Saccharomyces cerevisiae S288C: one gene and its partners. Changing the gene in region 3 together with the main gene of any one other region gives a genetic interaction. Each region holds a gene or a part of one and is shown on either strand. Other genes may lie near its edges.

Region 1 (3,310 bases), on a different chromosome or scaffold from region 3:
AAGCAACGTTTGAATGCCGCTCAAATTATTAGATCTTTACTAGCTCCAACTAAATACGTTATTTGTGTTGAGCACGATTTGTCAGTTTTGGATTATCTTTCCGATTTCGTTTGTATCATATATGGTGTTCCATCTGTTTACGGTGTTGTTACATTACCAGCCTCTGTCAGAGAAGGTATCAACATATTCTTGGACGGTCATATTCCTGCTGAAAACCTGAGATTCAGAACTGAAGCTTTACAATTTAGAATAGCTGATGCTACCGAAGACTTGCAGAATGACTCTGCTAGTCGCGCCTTCTCTTACCCAAGTTTGAAGAAAACTCAAGGTGATTTTGTTTTGAATGTTGAAGAAGGTGAATTCTCCGATTCCGAAATCCTTGTTATGATGGGTGAAAACGGTACCGGTAAGACCACTTTGATCAAATTACTAGCTGGTGCTTTGAAGCCAGATGAAGGACAAGATATTCCAAAATTGAATGTTTCTATGAAACCACAAAAAATTGCACCAAAGTTCCCAGGTACTGTCAGACAATTGTTTTTCAAGAAAATTAGAGGACAATTCCTAAATCCACAGTTTCAGACTGATGTCGTTAAACCTTTAAGGATTGACGATATTATTGATCAAGAAGTCCAACATTTGTCTGGTGGTGAATTACAAAGAGTCGCCATCGTCTTGGCATTGGGTATCCCAGCAGACATATACTTGATTGATGAGCCATCTGCCTACTTAGATTCCGAACAACGTATTATCTGTTCTAAAGTTATCAGAAGATTCATCTTACATAATAAGAAAACTGCGTTTATTGTCGAGCACGATTTCATCATGGCTACTTATCTTGCTGATAAGGTCATTGTTTTTGAAGGTATTCCTTCCAAGAATGCTCACGCAAGAGCCCCTGAATCTTTGTTGACTGGTTGTAACAGATTTTTGAAGAATTTGAATGTCACCTTCAGAAGGGATCCAAACTCCTTCAGACCAAGAATTAATAAGCTAGATTCCCAAATGGATAAAGAACAAAAATCATCAGGAAACTACTTTTTCTTGGATAACACCGGTATTTAAGCATCTTGGGATTCGGAGAACCAAGAGGACGATTGTTTTATTTTTGGGTTTAGAAATGTGGAGAAATAATTAAGAGTTATAATGTTTTTGCAAAACAAAATGAGTATTATATTACATTGAGTTCCTTCCCAAGCATCGGGTTGTTTATTTCTAGATATACGCCAACTAATACATTTCTAACTTCCCACCTTCATTACATCATAACCTGAAAGTGAACAACCTCCTCTTCGGTGATCCGTACTCCAGTTTATTTCATTTTTCTGTAAAGCAACTACACTATATTTATTCTCTATTTATTTTATATACCTATTGTATTTTAATTAATCGTTATTTTGTCCGCACCTTCTTCGTAATCGAATTTACCTTGTAAACGAGTCGTCATGATAAGCATTTGCTGCATTACTGAACGTTTATCTTAGCATGACATTAAAGTCCGTTTGTCTAAAATATCACCCAATTATTTCCGCGGTGTGAGCGCCAGATAAGGTGCTTCGGGTAATATGAGAACGCCGTTTCTTGATAGCATTTTTCAATGACTAGATAGGTAGATTACCTCTGTATCACACTTCTCGTACCAAACGAAACTCATATAAATAATGCTTTCCTTCTGGTGCCTTCTACTTTCCGCTGATCTCTATTTTCAAATTAACCGCTGAAATATAAACTGTGGAATACTATAACATAACATAGATTTAAGAATAAGGTATTCATGATCTCTGAAAAGGCTGCTACCGCTTTAGCTACTATAGCAACAGTTTGCTGGTGTGTCCAGCTAATTCCGCAAATAATATATAATTGGAAAAAAAAGGACTGTACGGGGCTGCCACCACTGATGATGTTCCTCTGGGTTGTTTCCGGAATTCCATTTGCCATATATTTCTGTGTTAGTAAAGGTAATGTCATTTTACAAGTTCAACCACACCTTTTTATGTTCTTCTGTTCTATAAGTTTCGTCCAATCGTGTTATTATCCACCAATCAGTATGGCGAGATCCAAAATAGTAATGATTGTAGCTGCTATTATTGCGGCTGATGTTGGCATGGAAGTTGGCTTTATATTATGGCTGAGGCCCCTTTACGAGAAGGGTGTTAAATGGCCCGATCTGATTTTTGGTATTTCTGCATCTGTTTTGTTAGCTGTCGGACTGCTTCCACCTTACTTTGAACTAGCCAAAAGGAAAGGTCGTGTTATTGGCATCAACTTTGCCTTCTTATTCATCGATTCATTAGGTGCTTGGCTATCTATCATCAGTGTTATCCTAGGTAATATGGATATTATGGGTATTATATTATACTCAATAGTTGCTGGAATGGAGTTAGGAATTTTCGCGTCTCATTTCATATGGTGGTGTAGGTTTAGATTCCTAGCTAAAGGCAATACTTTTGACGAAGAAAGTGGCCAAGCTCAAAAGGAAGAACCCGATGAAAAAATCGAACAAGATATTAGCAAGAGTGACCGAAATGTTACTAACTATAACCTGGATAACTGTTCAATCCCCGACGATGCTTCGAGCTTTGCAGACGATTTTAATATATACGATAGTACTGATGGGGGGACGTTATCAAGAGCCCAAACATTGCATGCTGTCCATGGAGTTGTGGTTAGAACAGATCCTGATCGTTATTCGAGGCTAAGTGTGTAACGAATCTGAGTCCTTTTTAGTTAGCACGTTTTCATCTCTTTTTGATAGCACGCTTAATAATATTCACCACTAGCGCAGTAATATGGCATCTGCCGCAGGTGTAAAGGTTTTCACTTCGCTTATATTCACAATACTATGCGTTCAAACACGGCCATCAGAAAAGATCAAAATAAGGATTATTAATTAAAAACTTAAACAGAAATTCAGTTTGCAACACCCTTCGCAATGGCGAAGTTTCCAAAAACAAAATCTCCAAACAAGATTAACATTCTTCTTATGTAACCACATGATATGCATATTTTATATAGACTGTACACATGAAAAACTTTTATCGTCCAAAATAATTAAAAGAAAATTTCAATCATACCATAGCACACTGTTCCAGTAACTGAGAAAAACATTGTGAAGCAACCAACATAATGCCAGATTGGCGCCAAAGTGAACCGACTAAATAACAACAACAGGCACGCACAGATCAAAATAAGGGAAACCAGTAAGGAAATGATAATAATGGCTATGAGAATATTTTGAATTTCTAAATCTATCTCATTATTACTTTGCCCGCGAAACAAGGATAAAACGATTCCCAGACATACACTTGCC
Region 2 (4,081 bases), on a different chromosome or scaffold from region 3:
CTTGTTTGATAGTGATTGGAATCCACAGGTGGATTTACAAGCCATGGACAGGTGTCACCGTATTGGCCAAGAATCACCGGTTATAGTATATAGGTTGTGTTGTGATAACACCATTGAACATGTTATATTGACCAGAGCGGCCAATAAGCGAAATTTGGAAAGAATGGTTATCCAGATGGGAAAATTCAATAACCTGAAAAAATTGGCGTTAAATGAAGGTTCTTTTTTGAAGGCAAACAAAGCGGGTGTTAATGTCACTAATAAGGACTTAGTCCAGGAGTTATCTATGCTTTTAATGAGCGATGAATCCAATATAGGCTTTGAAAATGGGGGACAGAAAGAAAATAAGGCTACTGAGGGCCAACTGACTGATAAGGAGGTTGAAGAATTGACCAACAGATCTCTTGAAGCGTACAAGGCCAACAGAGTCGTAGATCTGCCGCACGTCAAGCTATTTGAAACAACCTCCGGTCTTTAACTTGGTTATCATACAATATTGTTTTTATTAAATGTTTGTATATATGTACATATACATACCTATATATTGATCAATGTTCTTGCCGTACAAATTCTTCCTCTAGTTGTTCCTTTAGTTCACGGTTTTTGAATAAAGTATCCGCAGTATTCATTCGTTGCAGAAAGGTATCTTGAATATTATTTTTTGTGTTCTGGAAATCAGCTTTTAGTTTAGTAATCCATTCCAGTATCAAAGTCATATCCAGATCATGTTTTACCAGACGGTTCCTCTCAGAAATAACTTTCTTTTTCAATTCCATGAAACGGAGCCAGTTGGAATGATTCTCTTCTATATAGGCAGGATCGTATTGATCTTCCAAATGGAGACCTCTGACGTCCATATATGCCATTCTTTGCGACCATTGACTTATCATTACATCGCCCCACTCTTCGTACACTTCGACGTTTTCAAGACGAATCGATTCTGCCAGTTTAGCCATTTCGGTAAGAAAAGAATCTAATGAATGAAACAGTGATTTTTCAAAGTCTAACAAATGTATTTTATAATTCTTCAGTATCGATGTGATAGATGATTTGGTAATGTAAGCTTCCAGTTCAACTTGACCCGATTCATCAAAATACTTTATTTTATTTTGCACAGGATCGAATTTAGAGGTACAATTAATATCTTTGATTTTTGAATCTAGAAACACTAATTGCTCATTAACGGTAGTGTTAAGGTCATCAAGATTCCTAGTGATTTCTATAGATTTATTTTGCACCTCGGCCTCGAACACAGACTGTATCTCTGAATCCAAAAGTGCCATCGCACTGTGTATTTTCGAATCTATAGCCTTAATCCATGCTTCATATTCCATTTTTAATGATTCTGCCTCGTAAGTTTCCAATTCTGCATGGCTATTGGAACCAATGATAATCTTTGACAAATCCTGCAAAATAGCAGCAGTGACGAGTTGTGAGTTCCCGTGGCCATCCTGTACTCCATCGAACTCGTATTCTTTATTTTCATCCTCAATTCCGACATCATCCTCATCCTCATCTTCATCCTCATCCTCATTTTCATTCTCATCATCCTCATAATCCTCTGTTTCCGAGTCTGTCTCAAAAATGGGTTTGGTGAGCGTGCCATCAGCGCTAAAGGAGCCGTATTTCATCCAATCCGTAGAGGAGTTAAATGGATTCTCTAGTACATTCTTCACATTGTCTGTATATGGCTTTAAATAGTACCAGGCAATCCTTAGATGATTTAATAAAGGTCCCAACTTGGAATGTAGCGAACAGCAGAGCTCATTTAGCCTTAGAAAAGAGAAAATATTGTACCAAAAGCGGTAAAAATATCCCATAATTCTCTTCAAGGATGAGTTGGGGTATCTTTCAATCAGTGGTTTTATCGATTGTGAGTACTTTCCAACTAAATAGTCAGAAACCGCTGAACCTTCAACCAATTTAGAATCGAATAGTGAGCCAACTGAAAATTCAGTATGCCGGCAAATGGGCTGTAAATCTGTGGCAAAGCTTCCCAGACCATTTTGCTGACAGACCAGATACCTTGCAATAAACACGCAAGCCAGCAAAGCAGTCGTTACTTTGAAAACGGCCTTCATGATTTTTAGTAAAGAACTAACCACCTTTTTCTTAGTTAAGAAAAGGTCAATCAGTAACAGAAATATGATAGTAGCAACACCCAAAAAAATGCTATCTTCCAATAGTCAAAAAGGAAGCCTCGATGCCATACAAGTCTCTTCTAAAGTACTATTATGTAATTCCTGTTAAATGATACCTGTATTGTGGCTTAAAAGGGCCGAAATGACAACAAAATGAGTAGGGTTAATTTAATTTTTAAAGAGGGCATTTATCTAAAAAATGAAAGACAACTATAGGGCTGGTAATTATAGAATAGGTCTTAGTAGGGTTATCCCTTCCTCTAGAAAAAAAGAAAGAAAAATAATTTTAAGTGGCCAATTAGAACCAAAACCAACAGTATCGTGGTATCATACGCTCCAAAGCAACTAGAAGAAAGGCCTTATTTGACCATTGGATTCAGTATTTTTTCTCCAAGTAGCGGTTAAAAGACTGAGAGACTAAAGCTAGATAGTGGGTTTGAGTGACTATCCCCTTTTTTCCTCCTCTTTTTTTATTATTTTGATTTTATTTCATTTTGATTTTATTTCAACACGATTAAGACACAAGCGTTACTTCCCTAGACTATAGTCTCTGCCGTTCCCATTCTATTGATTTTTGGAGCAGCAGTTTTTACAAAAGAAAAGAAAAAAAAGACGAAAACAACAAGCCAGAGTAAAGATGTCGTTTTGGCCATTTGGACAGAATCTTAATCACTCTAATATTAATAAGATCCTAGATGAATATTTTCATGTGCTACACGAACTGGAAAGGATTAACCCAAGCGTTGGTAAAGCCATTCCCGCTATTTTCAACAACGTTCAGGAACGAGGTACAAGTGACTCCCTAGATTCTATTCCGGAGGAGTATAGTCATGGTGATGAAGTGAAAACGGCACGTGGAGATCAGAAGAGTCGATTTGAGAAGGATGATCAGCAAGAACGGTATGAGAAAGAGGAAGAGGAACGGAGCATGAACTCTAGCGAATCTTCCACTACATCTTTTTCTTCTGGGTCAACTTCTAAAACTGATTTAGATGAGGAGGATATCAGCAATGCTACTGCTCCCATGATGGTCACCACAAAGAATTTGGATAACTCTTTTATTGAAAGAATGCTTGTAGAGACAGAGCTACTGAACGAATTATCGAGACAAAACAAGACGCTACTTGACTTCATTTGCTTTGGATTTTTCTTTGATAAGAAAACTAATAAGAAAGTGAATAATATGGAATATCTGGTCGACCAACTGATGGAATGTATCTCGAAGATTAAAACCGCCACCACAGTGGATTTGAATAACCTGATAGATTATCAAGAACAGCAACAGCTTGATGATAGCTCACAAGAGGACGTTTATGTGGAATCTGATACGGAGCAAGAAGAGGAGAAAGAGGACGATAATAACAGCAATAACAAGAAGAGACGAAAACGCGGAAGCTCCTCGTTTGGTAACGATGATATCAACAACAATGACGACGACGACGATGCGAATGAGGACGATGAATCTGCTTATTTGACAAAGGCCACCATAATATCTGAAATCTTTTCCTTAGACATATGGTTGATTAGCGAGTCATTAGTTAAAAACCAATCATACTTAAACAAGATTTGGTCTATCATCAACCAGCCAAATTTCAATTCTGAAAACTCTCCCTTGGTACCCATATTCTTAAAGATTAACCAAAATCTGTTGTTAACCAGGCAGGATCAATATTTAAATTTTATTCGAACGGAGAGAAGCTTTGTTGATGATATGTTAAAGCATGTTGATATTTCCCTATTGATGGATTTTTTCTTGAAAATAATATCCACAGATAAGATTGAATCACCCACGGGAATAATTGAATTAGTATATGATCAAAACTTGATCAGCAAATGCTTAAGCTTTCTAAATAACAAAGAGTCCCCAGCTGACATCCAAGCATGCGTGGGTGATTTCTTAAAGGCTCTGATTGCCATTTCTGCTAATGCACCCTTGGATG
Region 3 (3,560 bases):
ATGAAAAAATAATGTGACAAACGTCTGCAAATAACCTGAAGAATTTTATCCGGGATAACGACAAAGCGTTAAATATAGAAACATAGTGAATGTACTGCTAGGAAAAAAATAGGCATAATTTAATCTTTATTCATATAAATGTTTTTACCAGAACTCTCTTGGTAGATAGTTTTGATATACGGTTTCCTGCTCAATTTTAGTGAGGCTGGGACGTAAAGTATTTTTTTCAAATAAACCATTTCTTGTTTCTACCTTTTTAGTACGGATTTTTTTTAGTAAGTTCTGTATTCTTTTTTAAGAGTAAAAAATATTCAGACCCCAAACTCACAAAAAGCCTACAGAGTCCGCCTGTTACGCTCAATTTAGTACTACCACTTGTGATAATATTTATTTTGGGACAGGTCCAAAAACTTTTAGGTTTAAACGTACAAACGTTGAGTTTAATCTAGATCATATATCATTATAAAGGTTTTATCTACAAGCAAGTGAAGAAACGTAACAAACGTAAAAAGCTTCAGCCTCACCTAAATATCGAATTTGTACTGAGTCTTTGAAGTGTATACCTCGCCGCGCTTCAGAAGAACACAACCTCTCCACTCATCACGGTTGATAGCATCAACGTATCTACCTTGCTGAACGGCAAATCCAGACCTTGGCACAAATTTGCCACATAAATTATCACCGGTGTACAAATGAACGGTTGGTTCTGTCGTCGAAACCTCAAATTTGATGTGAGATTCGGGATGATAGGCCTTAAAAACAGGAACCAATTTGTTGACACTCACAGAATCTGTAGTCTTCAAATCCTTGTTAGCGTCAATAATGAAAGTGCAATCAAAGACCGGAGTATCTTCATGCAAAACGGTGGGCTTAGTTGAATCAAAAGTAGCAATGTTCCTTTCAATGATCTTACCAGTTGGAAGCAATGCCCCCTCTGTAACTTCAAGCGATTTGTTCGAGCAGACCTTAACTTCTGTACCACGAATGGACTTCTCACTCTTGACTTTGTTCAAGTTAAAATACGAGTGGTTGGTCATATTAATTGGAGTAGCATCACCACGAACTAACTGTGCTTGGTATTCCATGTCTAAAGTCATTTCTGCAACATTCAAAGTGTACTTCACTGTGACTTCCAAGTCACCTGGAAACTCGTTAGGGTTGGGCTGTGTGTGATCATCCAACAATTTAAATTCAACAACGTAAACGCCCTTGGAAGGATTCTCAACAGGGGACGCCTTGTACTGCTTAAGATTTAAGGAACTGATACTGCTGTGATTTGTGTTACCACAATTGTTAACAGTTAACTTGTGAGGACCATCATCCAGGCTGAAAACACCCTTGGCGATACGGTTGGCATAACGACCAACTGTAGCGCCCATCATGTTACCATCTGTTAAATAGTCTTGTACGTTTGAATAACCTTGAACGACTGATTGGCCGTTTACCTTCAGGTCTACCAAAGTTGCACCAAGTGGCGCAATGGTAGCTTGGAACTTTTTCTCATCACCAATTGTAATGACACCATACTTATTATCACCGTTACTATTTGACATTTCGCTGTTTGTTATCTGTTTTGATTTTTTTTTTCACTGCTTATCATACAAACTGATCAATTGAGCTATCAAACTTCAACTTATCTCTGTATTTATATGCTGAAAGTATAGAGTGTACATAAAAATGTATCACATGTCTATTACATATTACGACACCCCCACAATATTTTAACTGATCTTAATAACACGGGGTAGGAAGTTTATTTCATCATACCACTCAATGAGCTAAGCTGCCAAAGGCTCCTGTTCACTTCCTTGTGGTTCGTAGGCTATTCAGTGGCAACGTAATAAACAAGAAAAGAAAAAATTTCAACACCTTTATTCTAAATGTTGTCAGAAGTAATTATAGTGGGGGTATTGCAGATGTAAATGAAATACGACGTACTGTGGGGGGCTTTTCTTTTTCAAGAATCCTAAACTATTCCAATGGGATTGCGTGATTATGTTTCGTTAGAGTTTTTTTCTATATCTCCGTTCTTATTTCTTAAGTCCGCCCCTTGCTGTAACCAGCCCGGCTATTATTTGACGAATTTTTCACATCTTCATTCCTTGCCGAGAAAGAAGCTTTTGCCTCCCTGGGGTTATTATAAAATATATCTGACGTCACTGGTTTGCAGCCAAAAAGTTTAATTATTTTAACTTCAAGGGTTCGTTTCGGAGTAAATAGTCAATGCACAAAATAGGAAGGTGGAGGTGGGGTATGCATTTTTGTGCATAGAGTGGCGGGGTATTAAGAATAATGCACATATAGGCACATAGGCACAAATGCGTGGGATGACTTGACTGTGCAAAGACCGTTAGCAACCTAGAATGTGGAATAGTATCCCAAATGATGACGTAAACGTTCGAGGATAATATTAGATAATATAATATTAGTATCCTCGTCTAAAAACAGGCAAAATAGCACGGAATCTATTCAAAAGAAGGCGGCAAGCAGTATCAATTGAGATAAGTGTATACGAACGGTGAAACCTCCTTGGCACAGAATTTTATCGTTCAAGTGGTAGGATAGCATTGCTGCCATAACACCCTCCTTAATCACAGGATAATATGGTGAACGAGATATATAAAGCGATAAGTTTAGGTGTGATATTTTTCTTTCGTTGTGCAAGTGTTGTGTAAATTCTTTCTCATTTGATAAATCAAAAAAAAAAAAAAAAAAAAGAAAAGAAAAGAAAAATTAATAAAATGCAATCATCCACTGAAAGTGATAGAGATATTCAGGATGGTCCTGATGCTGATATTCACGTCGCACCACCCGTGGAAAAAGAGTGGTCAGATGGATTTGATGACAACGAAGTCATAAACGGGGATAACGTTGAGCCACCAAAAAGAGGGCTCATAGGTTATCTTGTCATTTACTTATTGTGTTATCCAATATCCTTCGGGGGTTTCCTGCCTGGTTGGGATAGTGGTATCACAGCAGGTTTCATTAACATGGACAACTTTAAAATGAACTTCGGTTCTTACAAGCATAGCACTGGTGAATATTATTTGAGCAACGTGCGTATGGGTCTTCTTGTGGCTATGTTCAGTATTGGATGTGCCATAGGTGGTCTTATTTTTGCCCGTCTTGCTGATACTTTAGGTAGAAGGCTGGCAATTGTAATCGTGGTGTTGGTATATATGGTTGGTGCAATTATTCAGATCAGTTCGAATCACAAATGGTACCAATACTTCGTTGGTAAGATTATCTATGGTCTTGGTGCTGGTGGCTGTTCGGTGTTGTGTCCAATGCTTTTGTCTGAAATAGCTCCTACAGATTTGAGAGGTGGACTTGTCTCATTGTACCAACTTAACATGACCTTCGGTATTTTCTTGGGTTATTGTAGCGTTTATGGTACGAGAAAATACGATAACACTGCACAATGGAGAGTCCCACTTGGGCTTTGCTTTTTATGGACTTTGATTATCATCATTGGTATGTTATTGGTTCCAGAGTCCCCAAGATATCTTATTGAATGTGAGAGACACGAAGAGGCCCGTGCTTCCATTGCCAAAATCAAC

The links.
Region 1: mutations in YNR071C (region 3) and ILT1 together harm fitness more than expected from each alone (negative genetic interaction), as found in Saccharomyces cerevisiae (one large-scale study listed by BioGRID).
Region 2: mutations in YNR071C (region 3) and OSW7 together harm fitness more than expected from each alone (negative genetic interaction), as found in Saccharomyces cerevisiae (one large-scale study listed by BioGRID).

The regions. Positions count from the first base shown.
Region 1 is NC_001136.10:624,463-627,772, reverse strand, and holds ILT1 (Ilt1p), read left to right. Parts: upstream 1-1,774; coding exon 1,775-2,707; downstream 2,708-3,310. Other genes in the region: RLI1 (Fe-S cluster-binding ribosome biosynthesis protein), read left to right, coding at 1-1,065; VTC5 (Vtc5p), read right to left, coding at 3,052-3,310.
Region 2 is NC_001138.5:231,464-235,544, forward strand, and holds OSW7 (Osw7p), read right to left. Parts: upstream 2,082-4,081; coding exon 549-2,081; downstream 1-548. Other genes in the region: IRC5 (putative ATPase), read left to right, coding at 1-478; SAP155 (Sap155p), read left to right, coding at 2,779-4,081. UniProt on the Saccharomyces cerevisiae protein: Involved in spore wall assembly.
Region 3 is NC_001146.8:769,916-773,475, forward strand, and holds YNR071C (aldose 1-epimerase superfamily protein), read right to left. Parts: upstream 1,554-3,560; coding exon 525-1,553; downstream 1-524. Other genes in the region: hexose transporter HXT17, read left to right, coding at 2,742-3,560.